Elephas maximus indicus: one gene and its partner. The protein of the gene in region 1 interacts with the protein of each later gene in a pairwise test. Links are inferred from orthologs where the notes say so. Each region holds a gene or a part of one and is shown in the gene's direction. Other genes may lie near its edges.

Evidence for each region. The genes of interacting proteins can lie anywhere in the genome.
Region 2: the proteins of AP1G1 (region 1) and AP1S2 interact in binary tests that used the Homo sapiens proteins (3 or more experiments, as listed by UniProt). The link is inferred for Elephas maximus indicus from reciprocal best matches to the Homo sapiens genes AP1G1 and AP1S2.

The regions. Positions count from the first base shown.
Region 1 is NC_064839.1:38,637,802-38,644,967, forward strand, and holds the start of AP1G1 (AP-1 complex subunit gamma-1), read left to right. Parts: upstream 1-4,109; 5' UTR 4,110-4,464; intron 4,465-7,166. UniProt on the Homo sapiens protein: Subunit of clathrin-associated adaptor protein complex 1 that plays a role in protein sorting in the late-Golgi/trans-Golgi network (TGN) and/or endosomes.
Region 2 is NC_064846.1:163,729,242-163,736,499, forward strand, and holds the start of AP1S2 (AP-1 complex subunit sigma-2), read left to right. Parts: upstream 1-4,227; 5' UTR 4,228-4,364; intron 4,365-6,608; coding exon 6,609-6,787; intron 6,788-7,258. UniProt on the Homo sapiens protein: Subunit of clathrin-associated adaptor protein complex 1 that plays a role in protein sorting in the late-Golgi/trans-Golgi network (TGN) and/or endosomes.

The DNA.
Region 1 (7,166 bases):
GTTGTACTTCTTCCAAGACAGATTTGTTTGTACTTTTGGCAGTCCATGGTATATTCAATGTTCTTCGCCAATGCCACAATTCAAAGGAGTCAGTTCTTCTTCGGTCTTACTTGTCCATCTTTCACGTGCATATGATGCAATTGAAAATACCATGGCTTGGGTCAGGCGCACCTTAGTCTTCAAGGACTTTGCTTTTCAACACTTTAAAGAGGTCCTTTGCAGCAGATTTACTCAATGATTTGATTTCTTGACTGCTGCTTCCATGGGTGTTGATTGTGCATCCAAGTAAAATGAAATCCTTGACAACTTCAGTCTTTTCTCCGTTTATCGTGATATTGCTCATTGGTCCAGTTGTGAAGAAAAAATTCAAGCCTCGAGTTGCAATAGTGAAGGATCCTATGGGGAAAATATTAAATGACGCAGGAAGCATCAAAAGAAGATGGAGGAAATACACAGAGTCACTATGCCAGAAAGAATTAGTCGATGTTCAAACATTTCAAGAAGTAGCATATGATCAGGAACCGATGGTACTGGAGGAAGAAATCCAAGCTGCTCTGAAGGCATTGGCGAAAAACAAGGCCCCAGGAATTGACAGAGTATCAATTGAGATGTTTCAACAAACAGATGCAGTGCTAGAGTTGCTCACTCGTCTATGTCGAGAAATATGGAAGACAGCTTCCTGGCCAACTGACTGGAAGAGATCCATATTTATGCATATTTCCAAGAAAGGTGATCCAACCAAATGCAGAAATTATAGAATAATATCAGTAATATCACATGCAAACAAATTTTGCTGAAGATCATTCAAAAATGGCTGCAGCAGTATATCAACAGGGAACTGCCAGAAATTCAGGCTGGTTTCAGAAGAGGATGTGGAACCAGGGATATCATTGCTGATGTCAAATGGATCCTGGCTGAAAGCAGACAATAACAGAAGGATGTTTACCTGTGTTTTTATTGACTACGCAAAGGCATTTGACTGTGTGGATCATAACAAATTATGGATAACATTGCAAAGAACGGGAATTCCAGAACACTTAATTGTGCTCATGAGGAACCTTTACATAGATCAAGAGGCAGTTGTTCGTACAGAACAAGGGGATACTGCATGGTTTAAAGTCAGGAAAGGTGTGTGTCAGGATCGTATCCTTTCACCATACCTATTTAATCTGTATGCTGAGCAAATAGGCTGAGAAGCTGGACTATTTGAAGAAGAACGGGGCATCAGGATTGGAGGAAGACTCATTAACAGATGAGAAAGAGGCTCATGAAAGTTCAGAGATGTTAAATAACTTTCTGCAGGTCACACAAGGATGAGTGGAAGGACAAGGTTTTAAGCCCAGGCAGGCTATCGCTAGAAACCCATTCTCTTAACCACTATGCAATAGCGCCCATGTGTTTTACAAGCCCATGGTGGGTGAACAGCAAATGAGTCAATGTATATGAAAATAGTTTTGTAAACTGTAAGACAGCATACGTTTGTGCTATTGTCACTTGTAGTTGTTGTTGTCCTGTGTGGTTGAGTCGATCCCAACTCACAGCAACCCTATGGGACAGAGTAGAACTGCCCCATAGGGTTTCCAAGGAGTGACTGTTGGATTCAAACCGCCAACCTTTTGGTTAGCAGCCAAGCTTTTTTAAGCACTGTGCCACCTCTCTAAATCTATTTTGGAACAAGGCAAGCCATAACCCGTAGATATTGAATGTCTTGCTCAGAGCAGGAAGTTACTTAAACCGAACTAGGACTGGAACCCAAGTGGTTTGACTCCTGGCCAATGCTTTTTCAGTTGTTATTTGTTAAATTGAAGCACGTAAGTTATCAATAAAAAACAAAATCATAGAAACAATGATGTTTTCTCCCAGCCATTCTCTATTCCTAGAAGTTTGTTAAATCTTCTTAGGCTGTTGGTGTTTTAAAAACAAAAATTATCTTTAGCATTTGGATCTGAAAAACTTCATTATCTTAAGAATTTTTTTCAAAGTGTAAAAGTCTGTTTTTTTCCCCAACTATAAAAGTACAGTATGCTTGATGCAACACAAAAACCAAAACCAAAAACAGCAAAAAAAAAAAAAAAAATTGTAAAGAAGTGAAAATCATCTATAACCCCACCACCCCAAAATAGCTATTTTTGTGTTGTAGTTTTATCCTTCAAATTTCTTTCTATGCATATGTAGTTTTTACAAGCTCATTTTATAATACTTTTTTGTAATATTATTTAAAAAAATTTGCCATACGGTGATAAAGATAGAGCTATAGTTGTTTTCACTGGCAACATAATATTCCATTTTATGGAAGTTCTGTAATTTATTTATCTGGGATTAGGGATTATATTTGAGAAGATGAGGAATAAACCTTTCCAGACTTTAATCACTGCCCAGGGAAACCAAAGATCCTGGGATAATGAAGACCCTTTATATACTGGGCCAATTGCTTTTAATTTTCAGTTGTATGAAGGAGGGGTTTGGTAATTATAAATATTGTGAAATACAAGTAAAAAAAAAAAAAACAAACAAGCTTGGAGTGGTCTCCATTTTGTAATGTCTGCAATTTTCTCTTTAATGGTCTGCCATTTGGCCTGGTGGAATAAAGCACCTTCCTTCTTGAATAGCTATACCTCAGAGAAACCCAGGTATGGCATCATATGGTATTCCTGCAGAAGAGGGTGCTGAATTCCAAAAGCATTCCACTCCCTAAACTATTTGCTTTGGGTCAAATCCACCGTGAGAAAGGCAGAGATAGACACAAAGACGGGGGGGGGGGGGGGAGAGAGACAGAGACAGAGAAAGAGACAGAGAGATAGAGAGAGAGAGACAGAGAGAGACTGTGTGTGTGTAGGTGGGACGGGGCGGGGGGCGGGGAGGACGACGAGAGGTTACTGTTTCCCAATTTGCAGGGTAGGACCACTGGAGGGGCAGTGGTTAAGCGTTGGGCTGCTAACCAAAAGGTCGAATCCACCAGCCTCCCCTTGGAAACTCTATGGGGCAGTTCTACTCTGTCCTATAGGGTTGCTATGAGTCGGAATCGACTCGATGGCAAAGGGTTTTTGGTTTTTTGGTAGCAGGACTACAGCGGCATAGGGGAGAAAGGAGGGGCGGATCCTTTGGTAAGTCAGTGTCTGAATTTCAGTTTCCTTATTTATACAACTAAGTTACTTACACTTACCCAGCCTGACTCAGGCGGTTGTCGGGAGGGTCAAAATACATATGCATATGAAGGTGCTTCGTTAACAATGTGATAGCGATATTTAATAATGGTAAAAGATGATTACTATTATTACTATTTCAGCCACCTTGCATGATCCGGTAGTTTAAGGACAAAATTGTACAGATGGGCTACCCCGTTCATCTTTTGCAGTGTTTTGAACCCCCTGAAAATGATTGCCTAAGGGAGAAAAAAAAAAAAAAATACAAACTCTTTCCAATGACACTCAGGTCCTAAACTCAATGCTTGTGATTAGTTCGGTTCACTGGTGCATCCAGCCGGGTGCTGTGCTTTATTCACTTTGGGGGGCACTTTATCTCCAATCTAACCGAAGAGTTTTAGTCTAGGTAGGTCACCTTTTCTTTAAATAGGACAAGATATCATGACACTGTTTATGTTCACATGGAAAATATTCTTGGTCAGGTGTTAGTAATTATTTATCAAGCCAGGAACTGTCTGGTTGGGCTTCCTATGGTTCAGGTTATTAGTTCATGAAGACATACACAGAAAGCCCAGTCTGGAAAGGTTTTATCACTAGCCTAATCCTTTTTTTTTTTTTTTTTTTTTACATAAGAGGGAAGTGAGGCCCACAGAGTTTAAATGACTTGTCCAATGCAGGGGTTGAATGATGGTACTGTGTCCTCCTTTAACTCTTCATGCAGAGGTGATCTGAAAGAGCTTGGGATTTCAGTGGATTATGATTTGGCTCGGGGTTCTCCACCCCTTACCTGCCTCTCCTTTCTCACTTCCTCTGCTACTTTACCTAGCCCCGCCCCCTTCAGGTGCCATTAGCCCAACCCGTTCCCTCCCCCCTCCCCCCACAAAGCGGAACCAATGTTCGTCAGCTCCGGGGTTGACCGGATCCTTCTTGTTCAGACTCATCGCAGCGGTGACTCGGCAGCAGCGTCTCGCGTCATCAGTGACAGCCCCGAACCTTGCTACGCTTCGCGTCGCTCGGCCAGGGGCAGTCGCTTCCTCCGTGGCAAATAGTCCTCGGCGACGTCTAGATTCTTGGATAATAGCAGAAGAGAGGCGCAAAAGGTTGCAGTTAGAGGGTGCGGAATCGATAAGGAGAGGAGGATAGGAACCCGAAGTTTATGCAATAGTGTGTGAAGTTAGTTAAAACTCCGTCCCTCCTAAGGATCCCTCCGCCTGCGGTAGCGGTGGTGAGGCGAGGAAGCCGCCATTTTGGATGTTCGGTTCCTGCTGCCACTGCTGCCGCCGCCCCCGGAGCTGCTGGTTTCATTCGAGGTTTCGGGCCGGTGAGTGTCACTCTCGGCGCCGAGAGTATATTGCTTCTATTGCCCAGCGGCTGCTGCGAGCCCTCGACCGGAAGCTTCCTGATAAGCCCAGGGGTCCGGTTCTAGTCTGTGGGGGGTGAGAACAGAGGACAGAGGCTGGGCCAGGAGGGGCCCGGACCCCAAGGGCTGCTCTGACTTCTTGAGGGCCGCCCCTGAGGCATCGGACCCGGTGGCTCTGCGCGCGGCGGCACTTTGGCTTTGGCGTACCCGGATCGGTGCGGGCCTCCATGAACCCGTTGACTTTCGTAGTCTGCGGTTCTCCTTTGAGGACTCCATTCAGGGAGCCTGGGGTTTAGCGGGGCGGGCTCCACCCCCGCGTGTCTTCACAGAGCCACGTATCAGCGTTCTTGTATCTGTACCCGGGTCAGGTGTCTCACAGAACTCTCCTCAGCATATTCAAATGTTCAGTTAATCGCTGTCTGTCCCTCCAGTGCCGTCCTCCCTGAACCGGACATCGACCTCGCCTTCCTCTAACCTTTCGACCGTCTTTTTCAATTCTCCGTTTTATGTTTTTTTTTTTTTCAAACTAAACTGCGCGTATACCGATTATCCTTCACTCAAAGTCTTGGTCTTGAGGACGTCAGTTTTTAATAATTCTCCCGATCTTTCTGACTGCCTGAAAAAGTTGGGACGGTTGGTTGAGCTCTGTTAGGGCTGGCTGTAGAAGATCCATCAAAGCACCAGCTCAAAGTGTACTTCAGTAGTAAATGTTTATAAAGCAAATTAAATGGCTTTGTGTGTGTGTAAAGTAGGGGGTGTCAAATATTTTCTTTTTGGTGGATTACCCTCTTTTGCTGAGCACTTAGCTTTTTGGTGCTTATTGACATTTGTACATTTTTCTTGGTGTTAACGTATACCTGGGAATGGAAAGCTGCCTATGAAGAAAAATAGTAATCTGATGTAGTTAGGAAGGAGAGTAACTTTTTTGGCTGCTGTAGGGATTAGTCAACAGAAGGGAGGAGTGAATGAAGATTTCTTAGTAATTTTAACTTTTAGGTGTATTGTGTAGAAATGATCTCTCTCACTGACTCTAGAAATGGTTCATTGACTTTTCTTTTTCCTCTCTGTTGTAAAAAAAAAAAAACTGGTCAATTAGAAAATACTCGTATTGACTTTGTGTGTTGGGTTTTTAACATTAACTTAAGCTCTTCTCAGTATACACCTTAGCTTTTGTTTTGAAAAATACAGACCTTCCAGATAAGTGTAATTTCACTACTTTTACTCTGCATCTAAAATATGTTTGCAGGGTAGCATGCGTGAATAAAAGCATTTCATAGCAATTCACTGATTATTTCTTACATTTCAAGTTAGGTGAGTCTGATTCAATCACCCCTATTTCACATCTCAGCTTAGGTTTTTATATCTGTAAAATAACTTATTTGAGATCACAGTCTAGTAACTGTTGAAATTTTAATTTATAACTTGAATTGAGTCACATTTTTTAATATCTAATATTTATATGTATTCACCACTATTTCACGTCTCAGCTTGGGTTTTCACATTTTTAAAAGAGATTACTTATCTAAGATCACAGTCTGGTGACTGCTGAAATTTGAATTTATAACTTGAACTGAATCAAAATATTTTTAGTACCTCTAATATATGTATTTAATACCTCTATAAGTGGAGCCTTGGTGGTGGAGCCTTGGTGGTGCAGTGGTTAAGAGCTTGGCTGCTAACCGGAAGTCAGTAGTTCCAGTCCACCAGCCACTCCTTGGAAACCCTGTGGGGCAGTTCTACTCTGTCTTTTAGGGTCACTATGAGTCGGAATCGACTCAGTGGCAATGAGTTTTTTAATGCGTAAGTGCATTATTCTTGCCAAGTTATTGAAATGAGATTATAGATGAACTGTGTTTACATGACGCCTCAGTAGAATACTGAATGTTTTCATTGTAAAGACTCACTGGTCTTGTTAACTTATTTGTTTTAAGGGAATTTTTCAAAAATGTATTAGTTACTACTAGATATCAGTGAGTTATTAGTGTTCGCGTAGTTTACTCTAAAGCTATGGAGTTTCATGGTTAAAGGAACTGTCAAACACTGAACACCTATGGAATGCTCACTCCTTCACTAACTGTCCCTTACAGATTCTTCTAAAATGTTCTGAGTTACACTTTTAAAGCAAAATATTGCAGGAGCTGTCAGGTGTTATTTAACTCCATTCATTTCGTGGTATAATGTACTGGTAGGTATTTAAATGTTATTCATTCTTTGGGGATTTGCATTCAATTGAAGAAAGTGTTCTTTTGCCTTGGAAATTTTTAAGGACTGTTTAGTGCACCACTGATTGATCAGCATATAGTTGAATATCACTTTGTCCAAGGCTGTTGGGATTACACTTGAAATTAACATTAATGTTTAGGAAACCTCAGTTCATTTTCTTTTGGGAACAGTTTCTTGTTCTTTTGATTTTTTTCACTGAAGTTCTAGGTTTGGTGGCAAATTTTAGAGTGAAACTAAAGTACAGAAATTGCCAGCAATGCCTGGGTTATAATATTTCAGTATTTAAAAAGTCTTGACAATGAATGATATATTTAAGAAAAAAGTTTTTGTGACTTATAAAAACTCTTTATACAAAATTTTAAATGTTGAACGGTCATTTTCCAAAACCATTAAGACTATTTTTAATTAAAAAAGTTGAATTGAGAAACTGCATACCAAAA
Region 2 (7,258 bases), on another chromosome or scaffold:
TGTCTTTGGTGTTCTTCATTCTCCTTTGTTCCAGGTGGGTTGAGACCCACTGATGCATCTTTGATGGCCGCTTGCTAGCATTTAAGACCTCAGACGCATGGCTAGGTATTTTTATTTAATAATTTCTAAAAAGCATATAGAGTGGCTTAGGGAACTCTGGACTAGTCCACAACATAGTGTTAGCACTGACTTTTTTTTTTTCAATCAAGTTCATTACAATATTTGGGGCCCTGGTGGTACAGTGGTTAAGCGTTTGGCTGCTAACCAAAAGGTCAGCAGTTCAAATCCACTAGTCGCTCCTTGGAAACCCTATGGGGCAGTTCTACTCTGTTTTATAGAGTTACTGTGAGTCAGCATAGACTCGACGGCAACGGATTTGGTGTTTTGTTTTTAAGTAAAACTGGCGTTAAAATGTAATAATAGCCTTTATTACATCTCAGCTCAAGACTCCATCCCTAGAAAGAAATTTGCCATTGCTTCTGGTATTTATTTCCTGGTATTTAAAGACTAGGGAGCTCTAGTGGCACAGTGATTAAGAGCTCAGCTGCTAACTGAAAGGTCAGCAGTTTGAACCCACCAGACACTCTGTGGGAGAGATGTGGCAGTCTGCTTCTGTGAAGCTTAAACCCATAAACTCACTGCCCTTGAGTTGACTCCGACTCATAATCTTGGAAACTGTATGAGGCAGTTCTACTCTGTCCTACAGGGTAGCTATGAGTCAGAATGACTCCATGGCAAAGGGTTTGGTTTTATTAAAGACTAAGATCCCTGAGTGGTGCAAATGGTTTGCACTGGAGTACTAACTGAAAGGTTAGTGTTTCAAACCCACCTGGTGGCACCATGGAAGAATGTCCTGGCGATCTGCTTCCCCAAGAAAACCCTATAGAGCAGTTCTACTCTGTAATACACGGGGCTGCCATGAGTCAGAATTGACTCCACAAGCAACAGGTTTGGGTTGGTTTATCTAAAGACTATGGTACTAATCCTGTTTTTTATTTATTCTAGATGTTATCTATTTTGTTCCTGTTAGTGCAGAAGGACTTAGCATTATTTCAACATCCCCTCATTTCTGCTCCTACATATAAATGTTACAGTTTTTCCTTAAATCAATTGTCAGTGTTTAAATGATGACACAAGTTAAGTGCACTACAGAGCCACTAACGTACGCTGACATCCTTGTGTTGATGTTTTAAACGTTCCTTTTTCATTTCACGGCGTTTGAGAGGGAGAGAAGATCAAAGCATGTGGCCATCATACCACATTTAACAAGAAGTACTAATACCATATTTGAAAACTTTCTAATAGATTACATAAAGTCTCAAAGTTTTATTATTAGAAGGGAGAGGCCCTATTTCATCCTGATCTCTTGTATTTAGCATAAATTAAAACGATGTACTTTTCTTAAAATTTAAGAGACAATTATAAAATCTGACTTTTAATTTTTCATAAAAATACTTTCTGTGCCATCATTACCACTAAGAAATCGGGACCATCTAGATAACAAAAGCAGGGGATTAAAAAAGATACCCTATGGTAATGACAGATAAAGAAGATACTCAGTGAGAAGCGTGGATATAATAAAGCCCACAGCTCGGAAATTTTAGTAATCAAAGTCAAGCTATTAATTACTAACAAAGACGCCAACAGTGCTTTGTCTTTCACGGTGAATGCACAATTAGCACTTAATATTAAAACTAGGGAATAAACCATCTATAATCCACTGAAAAAGACCATCTGCTTCTATAAATTTTGTTCTCATACACTTGCCAAAAGCAGAGAACAGATTAACAAAATAATGGGCCTTGCGCTGTTAATTGGTAGGTCATTTGCAGTTGTGCTGTTGCTATTAGAATTTAGTAAGCCATTCCTTCTGCTAAATTAATAAGCAGCCAAGATTATGTAATGGTTGCTTTCAGCAGCTAATTATTTTTCCCATAGTTCCTTCTCCCCCTTACCCCCAATCAGCTAGTCTCCAGCCCTCATTTTCCGAGCCACAGACCAATGTTAATTAAGAGCATAACCAATGAGTTTCAACTTGGAGGTGGCTACCTCTGGAACCCTGGGGATATAGGTGTTTGGTGCAGAAAAACAGACAGCAGCACTTGGAATTAGAGGGTTTCATTGCATAGTATCAGAGCAATCTTTGAACCAATGGCACCTGTTTTTGGTAGTAAGGGAGAAAAGGACATTGGAATGTGCCTTTGGGGCTTGACTGGGCAGGGAGCAGGGAGAAGCTTGGGTGGGGGCCTAGAGAACTACAGATAGCCAGCTCTGTGCTCTTCCCTGGCACTTTCTTCTGTATTTCAATATTCATCAATCATACAGGTTAGTAGGAAAATTTCCAAGCACCAAGACCAGTGCTTAACAAGGGGAAGCATTATCAATTTTTATTTTGCTAAATAAAGGCATTAAAAAAAATGCCCCCAAGCCCCTATTATATACTCTCGATTTTATAAAGACATTTTAACACACACACAAAAGAAAGAACACAATCCTTCATTTCTTTAAATTTAGCTTCATGAAAAATTTAGCTTTTTTTTACTGGGAGCCCTTAGAAAATCTTGGAGACTATTCTGGAACCTTTGCAAAAAAGGGCATGGTCCAACAAGAACAATTTTCTAGCTTCCTTTGTAAGAATCCAGGAGACTGGGGTAATGAATAGCATTCGACACGGGAAACCCGTGGCTGCTCAAGCAAGGTCACTTAATCCCATGGGGCTTCCCTTTCCTCATCTGTAAAAGAAGATGGTTGGACTAGATGATTCATCAATTCTCTCATTCAAAACAAAAAAAAAAAAAAATATCAACATTCATTGTGTGCCAGGAACTAAGCTCAGCATTCCGGTTACCAAATCTATCATTTTAGAGTCCTTATCGGTCAACACACATTAAAAAAAGATTTTTTTTATTGTGCTTTAGGTGAAAGTTTACAGTTCAAGTTAGTTCCTCATACAAAGATTTATATACACATTGTTATGTGGCCCTAGTTGCTATCTCTATAATGTGACAGCACACTCCTTTCCACCCTGTATTTCCCATGTCCATTCAGCCAGCTCCTGTCCCGTTCTGCCTTTTCATCTCACCTCAGGACAGGAGCTGCCCATTTAGTCTCATGTATCTACTTGAACTGAGAAGTATACTCTTCACAAGTATCAATTTTATAACTCATAGTCCAGTCTATTCTTTGTCTGAAGAGCTGGCTTCGGGAATGTCAACTTACATATTTACTAGTTGGGACTTTTTTTTATATATGCCAAGCGGTAGAATAGGCTGGGGATGCAAAATGGAATACAATTCAAGATGTGCTAAATGGAGGCCAGTGGGTACATGGGACAAAGAACTCGTTCTTACAGGGTTTTAGGGTCAGACTTCACAGGAGAGGGGACGTTTAGGAGAAAGGGCATGCCAAGCTGAGCAGATCTTCGGCAAAGCTAAACTGAACCCAGACGGGTAAGGGGTGGCCCCAAGTGACGGGAACAAGACTCTATCTCGAAGATGAAAGGCTGTCTGCGTTTTTCAGCAGAGAACGGACAGTAACCCATCTGATACGCAGCACTGAGGATGGGCGAGGCAAACGCACGAAAGACTCTTGCAAAGCCTGGGGCGAAAAGTGTCTAGACTATGGCAGTAGCCGCGCCATGGGAGGCAAGGGCCGGGTTCCGAAGAGTTATGAGGCGGAATACTTGCAAAAGAACCTCTGACCGCTTGCACGAGCTCCACGAAAGAGCTGACTTGATTTCCCAGGAATTGCAGGCCCACTCCCCTATCATCCCTGGCCGTCACACTTCCCTCATGCCAGCCTCTTAGGGGCATGGAAAGTGATCCGGGCACGAACGTGGCTCTTCCAGGTAGGAAGCTTCCACGATCGGCATGGTGGTACCTGCAAAGCACGCCACGGAACCCCGTCGACCCACCATAGACGAAGCCCGGGAAGCAGCCCGCGAGCACCCCGGGGGCAGGGGCGCCAGGGCGCAGGCGCGCCAGCCCCGGCAGAAGCCGCTTCCGGGTCACGTGGCCGAGTTTCCGGTCCGCGCCACCCGGCTGGGTGGATACCCGGCCAATCGGCTGCCTTGGGCGGCGCCGTCGCCGACTCTGCCTCCGGTGTCGTGGGCGGTGACCGGGCTGCTTCCCGCGCGTCGCCTAGCCCGCCCCTCCGCTCGCCGCAGCCCCGGCTCCTCCCTCGGCCGGCCCCCGGGGCGGGGTCTGTCGGCTCGCCCTCCCCTCGCCGCCTAACCCAGCCTTTCTCCAAACTGGTCCCCTCCCCTCAGCAACACGGCTGCTGCTCCTCACCCCGGCGACAGGGGTTTCCCCTTAGCCGCCACCGCTGCCGGCCGAGCCCCGCCGCGCCCGCGGCCCGCGGCCGCAGTAAGTCCCGGGGGGCGAACGAAGGCTGGGGAAGGAGAGGGTGGGGGAGGGCCGGGCGCGCCCCCCGCCGCCCCGCGCGCGCCCCGGCGAACCCACCCAGCGCCCGCCCGGCCGCTTCCCGGGCGCCGCGCCCCGCAACTCACTTCTCTCGGCGTCCGCGCCCCGGGCTGCAGGAGTCCGTCCCGGCCGCCGCACCAGCCCCGTCGCACTTGTGGTTCGGGAATCGCTTCAAGTTTTGCGGGGCGTTTTGGGGAGGGGACGCAGCGGGGAACTGTGGCGGCCGAGGACCCCTGGCGCCCCCTGCGCGGCGGCGGATGCCATTGTCTCCTCGCCCCGGTGCGGCCAGCGGATGGAGTGTGGCCCCGAGGGGGGGCGTCGGCGACGCCCAGACCCGAGGAACGCTGGCCCCGAGCCCGCTCCGCGGCAGAGCCCATTGTTTTTAACACCAACCTCGAGGAATTGTGCTCTGCGATTTGCGGCAAAATCAAAGCATTGATTTTTAATAAGAGGGAAGGAGTACTTTAGGGAGAGTGAATTATTTATTTGTCCTGTGGAGTGGCAGGGCGGATACAAGAATGCTGCAGACAGCCTTGAGCCCAGACTCCGATCGCTAGTAGACCCCTACCTTTCCTGGACACCAAGCTCTATGAATACAGAGTCCATTCTTTTCCGAGTTCTAGTAACGGGTTTATATTCAGCGTGGTCCAGTCGATGCGTCCCTTGCGGCCCCTTCGAATGCCGCTATATGCAGGATTTGTTTGGGAGGCACACTGACGTCTCTGAATAAGGTTCATGTATTTTGTGCCAGTGAAGGGTTTTGAGATAAAATTGCTTTGCGTCTTTAAGCCAGTTTTAACTTTAAAAAGTTAAATTGCGGCGTCATGAATTTCCAGATATCTCGTTGATGCCTTTTTGGATTATTACAAAAAAAAAATACGACACTAATTAGCGACTTTGGAAATGTAGGGCTCATTTTATTCTAAATTGGTTGTGTAAATTCCGCCTTTCCATGTTCATATTCAAGATGGTGTGATGAATATTAAAAACCAGGTTTGAATTATATTTGCAGCCACACTGTTAAAGGAACTTATAGTTAAAAGAAAAAAAATCTCTCTGAATTGTACCTTTAAATTGCCTTTGTTGAAACGATACTTAGATGTGCGCAGTTGAGATGACCAGTTGAATTACAAGAAGAACCAGAAAGCCAAACTCGTTGTGGTCCGAGTCGGTTCTGACTCATAGCGACCCTCTAGGACAGCGCAGAACTACCCCATAGGGTTTCCAAGGCGCTGCCGATGGATTCGAACTGCTGACCTTTTGGTTAGCAGCGGACTCTTAACCACTGCGCCACCGGGGCCCCTCTGGTCCTTTAAAAATTAAACATGTAGATGAATCAACATCTGTTGGTTTGCAGATTCCAAATAACTATACACAGAGGAGCGTATCAAATACGCTAGAATACAGCAGTCACTCAATCTGTAGGTGCTATTTTTGATGGTTTTTAAATGAAGTATTGTGTAATGTCTCTAAATATGTTTAACTCTTAGTACTTCTGGCTTTTTTAAGGTTTATTTTCTCTTTCATAATCTTACACTCATTATTTATTGTGTGCATACGTATGTTGGATTTTTTAAAAAGTGAGGTCAAAACATCTTTAAAAATCAGGCTCTCATTAAGAAAAACATCTATTTATGGGATCCTTTTTTTGGTTAATATTTTAGATTTTTAAATTTTGTTTAAAATATGCTAGCATAAACTGAAGAGTGCATTTTAAGTGATAATATCCTTGTCTACAAGGAATTCAGCCCGGAGCTAGCCGGCCTCAGGGTGAAAAATAGTAGGTCTTCTCTTTCTTTCAAATGTACCTGAAGGAGATGTCTCCAGTTCTTCTGTGATGCGTAGACAGTGTGGGTATACATATAAAAAAAGCACAAGTAAAAAATACTGTTTTAAATGACAGAAGAGTTATCTTTCTTCAGAAATTTCACTCCAACTGAACTGGTTTTCTTTTCCATGCGCTCCTTTCCAAACTTGAGTGGAATAGGGTGGGGTGGCGAGGTCTGCATATAGTAAGAAGAGCTTTCTGCAAGCATCTCCTGCTGTTTTAATTGGCATAGAAATACTGATAGCTACTAGTCATTATCAGTTAAACACCCCCCCCTTCTCTAAAAAGCATGTAATTTTAATCTTAACTCTGTTGAGTCAAAGTGTTGCATCTAACCTTGGTTTTATTTACCTTAACAGATGCAGTTTATGTTGCTTTTTAGTCGTCAGGGAAAGCTTCGACTGCAGAAATGGTATGTCCCATTATCAGACAAAGAGAAGAAAAAGATCACAAGGGAACTTGTGCAAACCGTGTTAGCACGTAAACCTAAGATGTGCAGCTTTCTTGAGTGGCGAGATCTGAAGATTGTTTACAAAAGGTATGATTTCTTCCCCCCCCCCCGCCACCCCAGAACGTTGAAATAGCAATCTTAGGTCATTTATGATGTGAAAATTGCAGACTTTTAAGAGATGATGTTTATAAATAATGATTAATAAAGATTTAGATGAAATAGGTTTAAGGTGAAGCTTTGTGTTTGATGAATTACTCAGTCTAAAACGATAAATGCAGGGAAATAAGCTATAAAACTATACAACTGAAGGCATAAATGCTTATTAGTTATCATTTTAGAAAAATGGAATTCAGTTCTTTGCAGAGATCAATATTTTTCATTTAGAAAGTGGTATAGTCTATTAATATCTGTACCTGTTTTAAATCCTTTAAATTTCTCGATTTTTCTGAGCAGGTTGAAAAAAAATTTCTTGAACGTTTTTAGGAGGACCTTAACTTTCTTCCCTATTTCTGTTTCCCTTTATGACTAGCTTACTGAGTTTAAGATATGCATTTCTGC